Linked DNA regions of Canis lupus familiaris. The protein of the gene in region 1 purifies or fractionates together with the protein of each later gene. This does not show direct contact. Links are inferred from orthologs where the notes say so. Each region holds a gene or a part of one and is shown in the gene's direction. Other genes may lie near its edges. The genes, in order: IRF7 and TRIM21.

The links.
Region 2: the proteins of IRF7 (region 1) and TRIM21 purify together in Homo sapiens (affinity purification with mass spectrometry; 3 studies listed by BioGRID, with this or other methods). This does not show direct contact. The link is inferred for Canis lupus familiaris from reciprocal best matches to the Homo sapiens genes IRF7 and TRIM21.

The regions. Positions count from the first base shown.
Region 1 is NC_049239.1:26,056,868-26,064,174, reverse strand, and holds IRF7 (interferon regulatory factor 7), read left to right. Parts: upstream 1-2,784; 5' UTR 2,785-2,805; coding exon 2,806-2,825; intron 2,826-2,900; coding exon 2,901-3,063; intron 3,064-3,137; coding exon 3,138-3,342; intron 3,343-3,649; coding exon 3,650-3,705; intron 3,706-3,803; coding exon 3,804-4,011; intron 4,012-4,183; coding exon 4,184-4,279; intron 4,280-4,357; coding exon 4,358-4,858; intron 4,859-4,943; coding exon 4,944-5,062; intron 5,063-5,145; coding exon 5,146-5,301; 3' UTR 5,302-5,344; downstream 5,345-7,307. Other genes in the region: CDHR5 (cadherin-related family member 5), read left to right, coding at 1-8, 228-647; PHRF1 (PHD and RING finger domain-containing protein 1), read right to left, coding at 6,089-6,232, 6,641-6,769, 6,859-7,119, 7,273-7,307.
Region 2 is NC_049242.1:26,905,063-26,912,341, reverse strand, and holds the start of TRIM21 (E3 ubiquitin-protein ligase TRIM21), read left to right. Parts: upstream 1-2,584; 5' UTR 2,585-2,703; intron 2,704-3,715; 5' UTR 3,716-3,762; coding exon 3,763-4,170; intron 4,171-4,657; coding exon 4,658-4,783; intron 4,784-5,784; coding exon 5,785-6,015; intron 6,016-7,279. UniProt on the Homo sapiens protein: E3 ubiquitin-protein ligase whose activity is dependent on E2 enzymes, UBE2D1, UBE2D2, UBE2E1 and UBE2E2.

The DNA.
Region 1 (7,307 bases):
AAGCCCTGGTGAGGCCTGAGCGGGCGGGGGCAGCACCGAGGGCCCACGGGGGAGGGCAGGAGGGGGGGCCGGGCGGTCGTCCCAGCCCACGGAGTGTGGAGGCGGACACGGCAAGGAAAGGAAAGACCAGCCCGCGGCCCTGTCCCCCAGGACGGCTCCGGGGACAGTCCCAGCCCCAGCCGGGCCGGGGCCTGGGTGATGCCCTGATCGTCCCGTCTCCCCGCCAGGACCACCAGGCGCTCGCCTTCGACAACCAGGCCTTCTCGGACCCCCAAGAGGCCAACTGGGCGCCGGCTCCGCGCGCCTCCCCCGGCCCCACGCGGGCGGGGCCCCCCGAGCCCCCCGAGCCCACGCCCCAAGAGGCCTCTGGCTCCGCAGCCGCGGGCCCTGCCCCCGGCGCCCCCGAGGCGGCCCGGGATGGAGGCAGCCCCGCCGCCGTGAGGTCCATCCTGACCAAGGAGCGGCGGCCCGACGAGGGCGGCTACAAGGCCGTGTGGTTCGGGGAGGACATCGGGGCCGAGGCCGACGTGGTGGTCCTCAACGCGCCCGCCCCCGACGCGGCCCGCGCCCCCGACTCGGGCAGCGAGCACAGCGGCGACGGGGACGACGAGGACGGGGAGCCCGGCGGGGGCTCCACCTACGTCTAGCCCGGCGCCCCCCGCCCCCCGCGCAAAATAAAGGCACGGTGTCCAAGCTCTGCTGCGCCAGGGTGCCCAGAGCCGCCGCCGGAGGGGAAGGCGTGGCCTATGCGTCCCCTCCCCCACCCCTCCCCCCCGCCCCCCGCAGCTCTGCGTCCCGCTTCCCGTAAACCACCTGCCGCCTCGGGGCTTCCCGGGCTGGAGCCAGCTGGCGGCCCAAGTTCCTCTCCCGGTGTGACCGCGGCCGCACCCTGCGCGGCGGGGGCACCCCTTCTTTGCCTGGGGGCTGAGGGGCCCCCCTCGGGAACACTACTCTGGAGGGCGAGGTCCCGGGCCTGCGGGGCGCAGCGGCCGCAGCGGGGACAGAACCCCTCTGGGGGCCTCCTCAGGGGGGGACCTCCCTGACCCTCGTGGGCCCTCCGCGCTTTTCCTGATGAAAAGGCATCCCCAATGCCGTTCCAAATGTCTTATTCTAGGGATCCCTGGGTGGCGCTGCGGTTTGGCGCCTGCCTTTGGCCCAGGGCACGATCCTGGAGACCCGGGATCGAATCCCACGTCGGGCTCCCGGTGCATGGAGCCTGCTTCTCTCTCTGCCTGTGTGTCTGCCTCTCTCTCTCTCTGTCTGTGACTTAAATAAATAAATAATAAATAAAATATTAAAAAAAACAAAAAAAAAAACAAAAAAAAAACAAATGTCTTATTCTTAGGGACATGTGAATGTTCTTGTCTGGATAATTCTCATTAAGAATCCAAAAGCTGGGCAGCCCCCGTGGCGCAGCGGTTTAGCGCCGCCTGCAGCCCAGGGCGTGACCATGGAGACCCGGGATCGAGTCCCACATCGGGCTCCCCGCATGGAGCCTGCTTCTCCCTCTGCCTGTGTCTCTGCCTCTCTTTGTGTCTCTATGAATAAATAAATAAAATCTTAAAAAATCGAAAAGCCACCGAGTGGGGGGGGCGCCTGGCTGGTTCTTCGGTTCCCTGGGGACAGTGGATTTCTGCTCAGGTCGTGATGTCAGGGTCCCAGGATCCAGCCGGGGTGGGGGTGGGGTCCGCACTCAGCGGGAAGTCTTCTAGGGGACCCTCTCCCTCTGCCTGCCCCCGCCCCCCAGTCTGCAGCTGTCTTTCAAATAAATGTCTTAAAAAAATAATCAAAAAAAACCCCAAGAGGCGGCCTAGATGGCCGAGTTGGTTGAGCATCCCACTCTGATCTCAGCTGTTTTTTTCTTTTTTTTTTTTTTTTTTAATTCATCAGAGACCCAGAAAGACGCAGAGACATGGGCAGGAGGAGAAGCAGGCTCCCCGCGGGGAGCCCGATGCGGGACTCGATTCCGGGCCCCGGGGTCACGCCCGGAGTCCGGGGCACTCCCGTCTGTGGACCGGCCAGTGGGCTCCACTCTGGGCCCCCTCTACTTAACACTAAAAGAGAACCTGAACTATAGGGCTGCCACTTGCCCCACGCCCTCCTTCAACACCCACTTTCCTGGGAAAAAGGAAGAGCCTGGTTCTGTGTGGGGTCTTCAGCTGAGGCCCGGGTTGGTTGCCAGGGGCCCCCTGCCCCGTCCCGCCTCTGTGGGGGCGGGGTGCTCCTTGAGGCCCTCCCGCCGCCCCTGCACCGCCCGGCCCGGCCCGCACTCCGCAGCCTGCGCTGCCGTCAACACACGTGGGAACCTTCCGCCGCAGCGCTAGTCGGCTGCACCTGCGGCCGCGGCCGGCCCCCGGCTCGCCCCCGCCCCACCCCCGGCCCGCCCCCCGCCGGCCTCATAAAGGCGCGGGTCCCCAGCCCCACGGCGAGACGCACCTCCCCGCCCGGAGCCCCGCCGCGCAGGTGCTCGGAGGCCCGGCGCGTGCAGCGCGGGAGCAGCCCGGGCGGCGACGGGCCCGCGGAGCCGGGGCGGGCCCGAGGACAGGGGTCGCAGCGCCGGGGCCCCGGGGCGCGAGCGCGGAGGCCTCCCCGCGGCTTAGGTTTCGCTTTCCCGGGCGCGCGCGGTTTCGCTTTCCCGCCCCCGGGCACGCCCGCGCAGGCGTCGGTGCCGCTGTGGTCCCCGCGGGCCCCGCCAGCGCCCTCCCGCCCGGGCCGCGCCGCCCGCACCTGTGCTCACAGCAGCGCCGCCGCGGCCGGAACCGCACACCCGCAGCAGCCCGCCGCCCGCCGCCCGCCGCCCGGGCCATGGCCGTGCCCGCGGACAGGTGAGCGCCCGCCCGCCGCCGGGGTGCGTGGCCACCGGCCTCGCCCGCACCCTGACTGCCGGCCGCCGCCCGCAGGGGGGCCCCGCGCCCGCTCTTCGCAGACTGGCTCCTGGGGGAGGTGAGCAGCGGCCGCTACGAGGGCCTGCGGTGGCTGGACGCCGGCCGCACCCGCTTCCGCGTGCCCTGGAAGCACTTCGCGCGCAAGGACCTGGGGGAGGCCGACGCCCTCATCTTCAAGGTGGGCCGCGGCCCGGCGGGCAGGGGGGCTGCGGCCGGGCGGGCCCCAGGCTCACACCTTCCACCCCTCCCCAGGCCTGGGCGGTGGCCCGAGGCAGGTGGCCGCCCGGCGGCGGCCGTGACCAGCTGGCCTGCGAGGCCGCACTCCGCGCCGGCTGGAAAACCAACTTCCGCTGTGCCCTGCGCAGCACCCAGCGCTTTGTGATGCTCCAAGACAACTCCGGGGACCCCACTGACCCACATAAAGTGTACGCACTGAGCTCCGAGCCGGGGTGCAGAGGTGAGGAACCCCACGGCAGGGCCGCCGTAGGGGAGCCGGGCGCACAGGCCCGACACGGTGCGGCGAGGGCGCTGGGACCTCGCCCTGTACCGGAGCACATCCCTGGGGCAGGCTCGGGGTTTTGAGACAGACCTGAGAGAGGCAGGTGCCAGGTGGTTGGGGACGGGGGGGGGGGGGGGGGGGGGGGGGGGGGGGGGGGGGAGCTGACTGGGCCTGCTGGGGTGGATTAGTGGTGGAGCCACCCTGCTCTGAGGGCCTACCCAAGGACACATCATGTCCACTGCAGTCTCACCCCATTCTCCCTCAGGAGCTGCGGCGATTAACCATGGGGAGAAGGCGGGTGAAGACACCCCACCACTGATGGTAAGCCGGTTCTGCCCCCGGTGCTCGTGTTCCCAGGTGGGGGCTGCCCTCCTTCCTGGGCTGGGGAGCTGCTTATGCTGGCCCTGTCTTCCCTGCAGGGTGGGCTCCCTAGGCCATGCCTGGGAGGAGATGCTGGCCAGAGGCTGGGGCACAGTCTGAGCCCTGAGCCCTGTGCCCCATGCGCCCCTTTGGGCCAAGCTGGCAATGCCGAGGATCTCTTGCTCCAGGCCCTACAGCAGAGCTGCCTGGAGGACCATTTGCTGGAAGCTGCATGGGGAGTGGATGCAATCACTCCAGGCACTCCTGGTGAGGCCGGCCAGATGGGGATGCTCTGCCTTGCAGGGCTCTGTGGGGGGGGGGGGGGGGGGGGGGGGGGGGGGGAGGAGCAGGGAGGACAGCACGGTCCTCGTGGAGAGGGAGGAGGATGTGCAGTAGAGGTGGTGCGAGCCACAGCTGTGCCCATTGTCGTGCTGCTCAGGCCCAGAGCTCCCTGACATGGAGCCATACCAGCCACGGGCAGCAGAGATGGCCCCAAGCCCTGAGCCCCAGGTCCTGCACCAGGCCCGGATGACAGGTGAGAGGAGCCCATGGGAGTGTGAAGGACGGAGGGCTTGGGGGGCCAGGTGCCAGTCAAGCCCTCCTTTCCTTCCAGATACAGGCCCAGCCTCGGAGCCGTGGCAGCCCCCCCAAGAGGTGGAGCCTTGCGCCCCAGTGGCAGGGGAGCAGGTCCTGGCCAGGCCCGGCTGCTCACAGCCAGGACTGCAGGCAGAGCTCAGGGCCCTGGATGTGACCATCATGTACAAGGGCCGCACGGTGCTGCAAGAGGTGGTGTGGCATCCAAGCTTTGTGCTCCTGTACGGGCCCCCCAGCCTGGCCACCAGGGCCACTGAGCCCCACTGCGTGGCCTTCCCAAGCCCGGCCAAGCTCGCGGACCAGAAGCAGCTTCACTACACAGAGAAGCTGCTGCAGCACGTGGCCCCTGGCCTGCAGCTGGAGTTACGGGGGCCGGGGCTATGGGCCCGGCGCCTGGGCAAATGCAAGGTCTACTGGGAGGTGGGAGGGCCCCTGGGCTCGGCCAGCCCCTCCACAGCCCCCCGCCTGCTGCAGAGGAACCAGGACACCCCCATCTTCGACTTCAGCACGTTCTTCCGAGGTCAGTGACGTGCCTATCCGGGGGCCGATGCTGCCCCACCCCCTCCCGTCCCACCGGGCCCTGCTCACCAGGTCCTGTCCTGCAGAGATGGCCGAGTTCCGGGCTCGCCGGCGTCGGGGCTCCCCATACTACACCATCTACCTGGGCTTTGGGCAGGACCTGTCGGCTGGAAGGCCCAAGGAGAAGAGCCTGGTCCTGGTGAAGGTGAGGCATGGGGTCCTGTGGGAAGGCTGTGCGCAGTGCCCAGCCAGCCTGCCGACAACCTCCCCCCCACTCCCCCCCCCCAGCTGGAGCCACGGCTGTGCCGGGCGCACCTGGAGTACGTGCAGCGAGAAGGGGTGTCCTCCCTGGACAGCAGCAGCCTCGGCCTCTGCCTGTCCAGCTCCAACAGCCTCTACGAGGACCTGGAACACTTCCTCATGGAGGTAGAGCCACCTGCCTGAGCGCCGGGCCGCTCTCCCAGCCAATAAAAAGGACTTGAACCGATGCGTGGTGTCCTGACCAGGGGTGGGCGCTCAGAGGGCAGCACAGACTGAGGCTCACCCTACTTCCCTGGGGCCCGGGGAGGGACGCCACCACACTTGCATGCACTCCCACTCAGGCCTCCCGTGCAACCCGCTCTCCTCTGTCTTCACCATGAAGAAACAGGCCACACGCTTTAGAGCCAACAAACTCTACTCAAAGAATACAAAACGCTCTGGGGACAGCAGGTGTTTGCTCCTGGCAGGTGTGCTGGGGGGTGGGCACCACAAGCGGCCGACCCAGCTGTGCGCAGGGCCCCGCCTTCCAATCCAAGCACTGCGCTGCCTGCTGGGAGGCAGCACACACGAGCGTTCTTTACAGCCACGACAGCGAAGCCGGGAGTGGCCTTCCCTTATTACACAGGGCAGGACATCGGGCACCTGTGAGGGGAGTCGGGGGCTCCTTCCACCCCCCAGGCCCCTCCCGATCGCCAGAGGCTTCACCTTTCAAGTACTGAGTCAATCAACAAGTTTCTAAAGATAATCCATTTTTGATAAATTAGAACACAATGGAAACAGTGTGTATCTATAATATACATATAAAAAAGTCCAGTTTTAAACTGTGAGCAGGCCCAGTGCACAGAGCACGTGTGATCACAGAACCCTGAATGCAGGAGTGCTGGCTGGGTGTCTTCAGAGTTTTCTGCTTCTGCCACTCCCAACAGAATTGCTTGGGGACGGGGGCCATCGCCCCCCGCTCTCCCTGCCCTCAGCTCTCAGGGCCCTGGGCGGGCGCCTCCTCGCCAGCCTCGGCCCTGCGGTGCCTGCGCATGTGTCTGTATTTGTCCACATAGGCCTTGACCAGGTTGCCCACCTTCACGGGGTTGATCTCCCCGCTCTTGCTGTGGCATATCTGGGGGGAGAGGAGAGGCACAGATGACCCACACATCCCCACAGGGACCACAGGGCACAGAGCCCGACATCCCCCGCTGTGCCTGCCTCGCACAGCGGCTGAGGGTTCGTCTCCCAGCTGGAGACTGTGGCCCACGAGCCATGGATTTGGCCCTGACGCCCTGGGCCTGAGAACCGTCGGTGTCTCGGGCTCCTGCTTTCCCACCTGCAAGCATGGTGCGTTACGTACCTTCTGTTACTTCGCCCACAGAACAAGCAACAAAGCGCGGTCCCGTCCCCTCCCAAACTCCAGTGCTTACCTTTCCCGAGCACCTATGAGCTACTGGGACAGGAAGACAGAAGTGGCCTCTGGCTGCAGCCAGGACGTGACCATGATGCCCCGGCCCCCGCCCTGCCCACCCACACCCACCTTCTGTACCGCCTTGCGGAGGATGTCCTTGTACTCGTCCTTCGTCACCTCCCTCTTCTGGTAGAAGGGCTTGATGGCCAGCTTCACTTCCTCCACTGCCCGCTCCTGCATGTGCAGCTTCTTCATGTACTGAGAGCAAGGACACACGTGTGTGACCGCCCCGCCTGCACACAGGGCTGCACACGGCCTGGCCCCGAGCGGGGAGGGCCTGGACTCACCTCCTCATTCTTGGCCTTCTCTGCGGCAGGCCTGGGAGCGGCCGTCCTCTCCTCGGAGTTGCTGGCACCAGTGGAGTGGCCGGCTGGCTCCGAGGCCGTGGCCAGGGAGGTGGGCACGGGGGCCGGGCTCTGTGCAACCCCACAGCTGGCCAGGGGCAGGCTCCCCTGCAGGATGAACTGCACTGTGGGCTGGCTGGCCGGTGCGTAGGGTGGGAGGCTCACGGGCAGAGCTGGGGCGGGAGGCAGGTTGGACGTATAAACCTGGACAAAAACACAGACAGCTTAGGGCGGCGCTCCCGCTCCCGGCCCCACAGCAGGAGCAGCCCTGGCCAGAGAGGAAAGTCCCTCAGCCCCAGCCTGGCACAGCCCGTGTGGCCGGGCGCCAGACCACGTCCCTCCAGCCCAGGCACCCACCTGAGAGGGCTCAGCGTCAGGGAAGCCAGACTCTG
Region 2 (7,279 bases), on another chromosome or scaffold:
TCAGGACATCCCAACAACATCACCTGTAACCGAGGAACTGATTTTACAATCAAAGAATTCTGATAATGCGATTGTCCTATGGAATGCATAGGTCTCATACTGTATACCATCAGCCAGAAAAAGCCCAATAAGACTATGAAATGCCCTGCTGAAGACACAGGTATGATACCAGTTTGGAAACCCCATCCTATGAGATAGGAAGGTTATCCCACAAATTCTGGTAAGAGATTAAAATGAACTAATATATGGTGGCTTTTTTTTTCATATCCACTATATATACACACACTTCAGAGAATCTAAGGCAGGGAGGTAGAAGTGGCCCCTATCACCATCAGACTAGGAACTCCTTTAGAGAACACTTTCTTTCCAACCCTTAACATATGGCTCAGCCCTAAGGTCTGGGAGAAGACCTTCTACCAGAGTAGGTAGCAAACCTGGTTCTAATAAATTGGAATTTACAACTATCCCCCGGCTCCGTGGGGCTTCTGCAGCCACTGATGAAATAGGCAGAGGATGGGGTTTCTATACTGACTGGAGTGACCTATTCCTATTACCAAGGAGAATTTAAGTGGCTGGTACATAATGGGGCAATAACAACTATGCCTAAAACCCAAAATATACATTGGAGATATTCCTAGTAATGACTGCCTGATGACAATGGCTAGTGAATTAAAGACAGGGACATTGATACTGATCCTTCAAGAATGATTTGGATGACTCATCAGGAAAAGAACACTGAAGTACTAAGCTACTGGCAGTGAATGAAGGGAATTTAGAATGAGTGGTACCTTTGGTTTCATGGCCAATACCAAGGTGGGAACTGTTGAGCATGCATGTGTTATATTAATCGATTTTGTATGTATATTATTAAACACGTACCAAAGCAACCCTGTGGTGTGTGTATTAATATCTTTAATAGATAAGTAAACTGAAGCTCAGAGAGATGGCATGTGACTGGTAAATAGCAGGGTTAGCCCTGAATCCATGTCTGCCCTATCATGAGGTCTATGTTCTTTTCTACCACACCCACCAGCTGGCTTACTCAGTGCCTATAGGAATGAGCGAGGGTAGTGATGTGAAGCAGACTCATTTTCTGAGTGTCTGCAAATTCATATATAGGTCTCTTCTTCCTTTGATTTTTTTTTGTACTGTTTCCACTTTGCTTTCTGGGACTATGTTCCTGGAATCAAATCAGTACAGTGATACAATTTGAATATTAGAGGTCACTTGATAACCACCCACTTACAAATTCTCTTAAAAACAGAACTGGAAATTTGAAAGAAAGATGAAGTATCTTTAGGTTTCCTAAATCTATAGAAAACATTAAGCAAAGTTCAACTGATGTTTTTATCTTAAGGTATACAGGGACAAAAATAAATATGTCTGAGTCGGAAGGAATTGAGAATTCTAGTCTCCTCACCCTTCCTTGTTTCTCCTTCCTCCTCACAGTCTCTGCTTGAGTTGACAGGGCAGCCTGTTATCTCTGGGCTGTCACTAAAATGACGGTCTTCCCTAGACCTTTAACTCTCATGCACCTCTTACTATGTCTCAAGTCATTTTACTCCATTCAGACTCAATGCCCTCTCCTGGAATGTGAGTTTAACATCTCCTAAATCACTAAATCGTTATGTGGCTTAAATATGTAACCTGACACAGTAACAGTATTCACAAGAGTCAAAAGATGGAAGTCACCCAAGTGTCCATTCACAGATGAGTGGATAAACAAAATGCATATACAAACACTGGAACATTATCCAGCCTTTAAAAGGAAGGAAACCCTGTCACATGCTTGTACAACATGGATGAACCTTGAGGACCTTTTAAGTGAAATAAGTCACAAAACAACAAATACTATATGATTCCACTTACGTTGGGGGCACCTAAAGAAGTCAAATTCGTAGAGACAGAAAATTGAATGTAGCTGCTGGGTGCTGAGGGAACATACTGTTTAACAGGCAACAGAATTTCAGTTTGGCAAGATGAAACAAGTCGTATGAGTGGTGCGGATGGGGATACAATGATGTGAATGCATTTAATGCCACTGAACTATATACTTAAAAATTGTTACAATGGTAAATTTTGTTACATATGTTTTACCATAATTTAAAAAAAAAAAAAAAGAAAACCTCAGAAAATCCCTAGCTCAGTGACAAGTACACCGTTGGTGCCTAATAAATGTCAATTCTCTTCTTACCATTCACTGGTATGACACCTGCCTTGGGATCGTGCTGTACATAAATCCCTCACCAGCTGATGTTAAAAGACTATCAAGCCTTTCCTGAAAAGGACTTGTTTCTGGAAGCAGAGGGTGACACGTAAGGGAGAGCCCCAGGCACGTTGTCGCCATCCCACCCTCCCTAACTCCCTGAGAGCAGCTCCCACTCGTGGGCGTCGCCCAGCACGTAGGTGTGGAGCGAGACGACCAGTGTCCGAGGAGGCAGCGTGACCCCTCCACCGTGGATGCGATATTTTCTTGTTTGACCCCGAGGACCTGGGAGGGGACGCGAAGCAAGGACTTGACGCTGCGGAGCTCGGACTTCCTGCCGCCTGGGGCTCCCGAGCTGCCCCGCCTGCTCCCCCGCCCCTCGCGCCTCCCTCTCCTCCCACTCCCCGCCCCTCGGCCCACCCCCTTCGGACACGCCTCGACGGGAAATCGAAAGTGAAATAGGGAGCCTGCCGCCGGCTGCCGAAAGCCCTGAAAAGGTGAGTGACTCGCCCCGACCCGAGTGCCCCCGCCCTGGCTGGGGGACCTCTCTCCCCTGCCCCATCTAGTCCTCGCCCCTGGGGCCTGCAGACCCGGTTCCCCCAGGGCTAGCCCAGCCCCAGCCCCAGTCCCAGCCCCAGTCCCAGCCCCAGCCCCAGCAGTTCCTCCCGGGCTGGCAGCCTGCCTGGGACGGGGCCCCAAATGTGAACGTGACACCCAAGCCCCCGGGGGCGCTGCCCTAAGCGGGGGGCACCGGGGCAGAAACCTAGCCCAGCCCGGAGTGTAGTCCGGGCACTCCCCTCGACACTTCTCCTCTGGGGGTGAGAGGGGGCAGGACAGTTTCAGACGCTAGAAACCTGTGGGTCTGTGCCCCAGAGGCAATGAAGCCAGCTACCAGGTTCCCAGAAGGGAGAGGAGAGCCCAGGGAGTGCTCAGGCACTGTTCATGTGCGCATATAAACATATACAGGTACCCATATGCACACATATACCTGCAGGTATATATACATACAGACAGATATGTAGAAATATATTCTTATGTATATAATCACAGATATAGAAGTAACTCCTGTGATTATTGTGCAGATAATGAAGATATTTCCAAAGCAGGTAGCACCTTCTCTGGCTTATGGAGTGTACAGAGTACATGGTCCCTGTCATACAGATGAGCTGCTCAGCAGCGGACTGGTGACCTGAGAGGGCAGAGAGTGGACAGGAAAAGCCTGGGACAGAGGATGAAGCAGAGAGGGCCATGATGAAAATAGAGTTATAAACAGCTTTATCTCTGAAGTTCTCAACAACATTCAGTTTCTTTGGGGGACTCAGTTTCCCCTTCTGTCTGACTAGGTAAGTGGATGAGACTAGAGAGGAGAAGCTCTTATTATTCAAGTTAATGTTCTGGTGTTGTTTTCACCCCTTCCACTTCACTGTTCCTTGTGTTTTCCTTTGGATTGTTTTTCTTCTCACACAACCCTTCTCTTCTGCTCATTTCCCTCTCTCCTCTCCCCACCAGGGTACCCCAGGATCTCCACAGTGCTGCTTACTAAGAACATCACCCCTATGGCTGCAGCAATGCCCTTGGCAATGATGTGGGAGGAGGTCACATGCCCTATCTGCCTGGATCCTGTAGTGGAGCCTATGAGCATTGACTGTGGCCACAGCTTCTGCCACAAATGCATCTCTGAGGTGGGGAAAGATGGTGGCGGCGTCTGTCCTGTGTGTCAGCACACCTTCTTGCTCCGAAACCTCCGGCCCAATTGGCCACTGGCTAACGTGGTGGACAACCTTAAACAAATTGGCCAGAATGCCAATGAAGTCACACAGAGGGAATGGTGTCAGGTACATGGAGAGAGACTGCACCTGTTCTGTGAGGAAGATGGGAAGATCCTCTGCTGGGTATGTTCCCAGTCCCAGAACCACCGTAACCACAAAACGGTCCCTGTCGAGGAGGCTGCTCAGGAATACCAGGTAAGGACTTAGCACAGAGGCCTGACCAAGTAGAAGGGAGCTGGGTCCGTGCTTGGGGTTTTGTTCTCCAGAGTGAGGGAGGCAAAGTCACCTGTGGAGTTTCAGGGTTGGGAAAAGGAAGGGGTTTCCCACCTTCCAGGTCTAATTGAAGCAGAGAACTGCAAGCTCAGGACAGCTTTCTCATTCCCCAGGACCAGGGAGTACGCTTGGGAAAACGCTGCAAGGATCACACTTCCTTGTGGCCTTCTGGTTAATTAGGAATGAGGAATGCTCCAACTCCACACCACCACCTCCAACAGCGTGGCTGTGTTTTGAAAGAAACCTCAGGCTCTTGCCAAAGTCTTCCCATCCCCAGAATCTCTATCCCAATCAGACTGTAGTCTTCCCTCTTTCTCTGCACTCAAGTTTTTCAAAGAACCAGCATGTCTTCATGGCGCCTCACCCTACTTCTTGGACTGGTCGGGCGCTAACCTACCTTTCTCTGCAGGAGAAGCTTAAGGTGGCATTAAGGAAACTGAGAAAAGAACAAAAGTTGGCTGAGGAGTTGGAAGTGAATACTGCAATGAAGAGAGCAGCCTGGAAGGCAAGTGTTGTGCTCCAAAGGGAATCTCAGGTCAGAAGCCAGGGCAGAGTCCAGGGCCCCAGACTCAAACCCTAAGCATAGCTATGCCCATCTGAGGAGTGATAATATATCTCACTCACCATGAACCAGCTGTCCTCTAGGTCTCTTGATAGAGGTGAATAAAAAGGAGAGAGCTCAGATCAGATAGCAAAATCAAGAGTCTTAGGAGAAGGTGCCATACCCTTCGGAGAGGTACAAGCCATACCCTAAAGCTCCTGCTCCTTAAGCCTAGTCTTAAAACATGACGGCACCTTTGCCTCCATGTCTGGTCAGTGGTCTCTCAGGAGAGATGCCCAATGGCTAGGCCTGTCAGGAGGTACAGACTTAAGGGAACAATCCAGGTCAGACATAGGCAACTATCTGGTCATGCTGGTTTTTCTGACTGTGTTCAGATCACTGGTCCAAAGTAGGATGGAGAATAAAGCTTGTTCTGTATCTATAAGGGCATGGAGGGAACTCATGGCCAATAGAGCCCAGAAAGGAAGATTTGGGATCAGAGAAGGGTGAGTCAGGCTGTGGTGGCAAAAGGACTCATCCTGTGCCATCGGTGACCTTCCAGTCACTAACAGAAGAGCAGCCAAGATTATCCCCAAAACTCCTTTTCCTCAGGCCTGGGGAACAGTGTTATGAGCCTGTGTTTGGATGGTTGTTGGGGTGGGGACAGGTGTTACTCTCTCAGGAACTCACTAAGATATGAAGACAGATTTGGGCACATCGAGGTGCAGACTGGGTTTTGAAAGAGGCTGTAGAAAGTCGATAACATAGGTCAATGCAGCTGTGGTTGTAGGACAGCCCCAGTGTGCCCCACCATAATCCCATTTCACTCTTAGCCCAGAAGCCTCACCCACTTCCTGCTCTAGCAAAATAGTGTATGTTTGCTCTCAGACCCAGAGTGGTGAGTCTATGGGGAATAGAAATGGAAATGACCACCTCTGTTCCCCAGGCTTAGGGGATTTTGACAAAATCATCCTCTCTTTCCATGGACACCAAAGAGTCAGGTTGAGAGACACAAACGGAGGATTCACGCAGAATTTGTACAGCAGATAAACTTCCTGGCTGCGGAGGAACAGAGGCAAATGCAGAGGCTAGACATGGAGGAGAGGGAGCAGCTGAGAATCCTAGGGGAGACAGAGGCCATGCTGGCCCAGAAGACCCAAGCCCTGCAGGAGCTGGTTGTGGAGCTGGAGAGGAGGAGCAAGGGCTCACCCCTAGAGCTGCTGCAGGTGAGCCACCCTCTTCTCTGAGGCTCCTGGAGGAACTGAAAAATGGCTAGAGCTCCCTGATGCTGCCAACAGCAAGTAGAAACCCTGTCCCTGGAATTCAGACCCATGAGTAGTTTACATTCAAGCCACAGAATGGTGCAGATTTAGGAGGAAATATTCCTTGCAGCAATTGAAAAGAACGGCATCCCCAGCAAGAACCTGCTCTAACACATACTAGGCCCACAACCTTGAGAAAGTTCCTAACCTTTCGGAGTCAAATTTCTTATATGTTAAATGGATATTAGTACATCTCTCAAAGGATTTTTGTGAGGATTAAATGAGAGAAACCACAAAACCTTCTACGTGAGCCTTTGGCCATGGGAACGTTCTCATACATGTAACTGAAAATACAGCACTAGAAATTAAAAGACAGTAGCCCAGCCCCAGCCCTGCCACCAATCCTTTCCATAATTTTAGGTCAAGTTTGTTCCTTTTCCTAGACCTACTTTCTCCATTTGTGAAACAAGGGGGAGGGAGTAGACTGAATAACAAGGATTCCCCAGACATTAGTCACTGATATATCATCTTCACACTTTCTGCCACTTCTGTGCACTACCCAAATCCTGTTAGCATGTTTTTGGTTTTTTTTTAAGATTTTATTTATTTATTCATGAGACACAGAGAGAGGTAGAGAGATAGGCAGAGGGAGAAGCAGGCTCCCCGCAGGGAGCCCCATGCGGGACTCCATCCCAGGACCCCAGATCACAACCTGAGCCAAAGGCAGACACTCAACCACTGAATCACCCAGGTGCCCCAGAATGTTGTTTTCTTGACATTGCCTTACACCTTCATTGGAAGAAATTTAGCTTAAAAGGAAATTTGTCCTAAGCAACAGTAGCCAAGAAATCATGTGTTGATATGTTGCTGATTTTTTTTCTATTTTCATGACAACGGCTCTTTCTTAAATAGCACATATGACATGCCTCGGTCTATTCGATCTGTCACAACAATGCAGTGAGATGGGTGCTGTTATCCTCGTCTCATAGATGAGAAAACAGAGGGGCAGAGAGGTTGAGAAACTTAGAGACTAAAGCTGAATAACTTGACCAGGTTCACCCAAATAGTAAGAGACAGAGCTAAAATTAAAATAAGCACATAACTATTTTTTAAAAACTCATCGATGTGTGTTCTACTTAAAATTATCTTGCATCCCCTAATATGTTTGCCTTGTTGTGGCAAACTGTTGACCAGAGGGTCTCAAAAGTCCCTTCTGCTTTAACCTTGT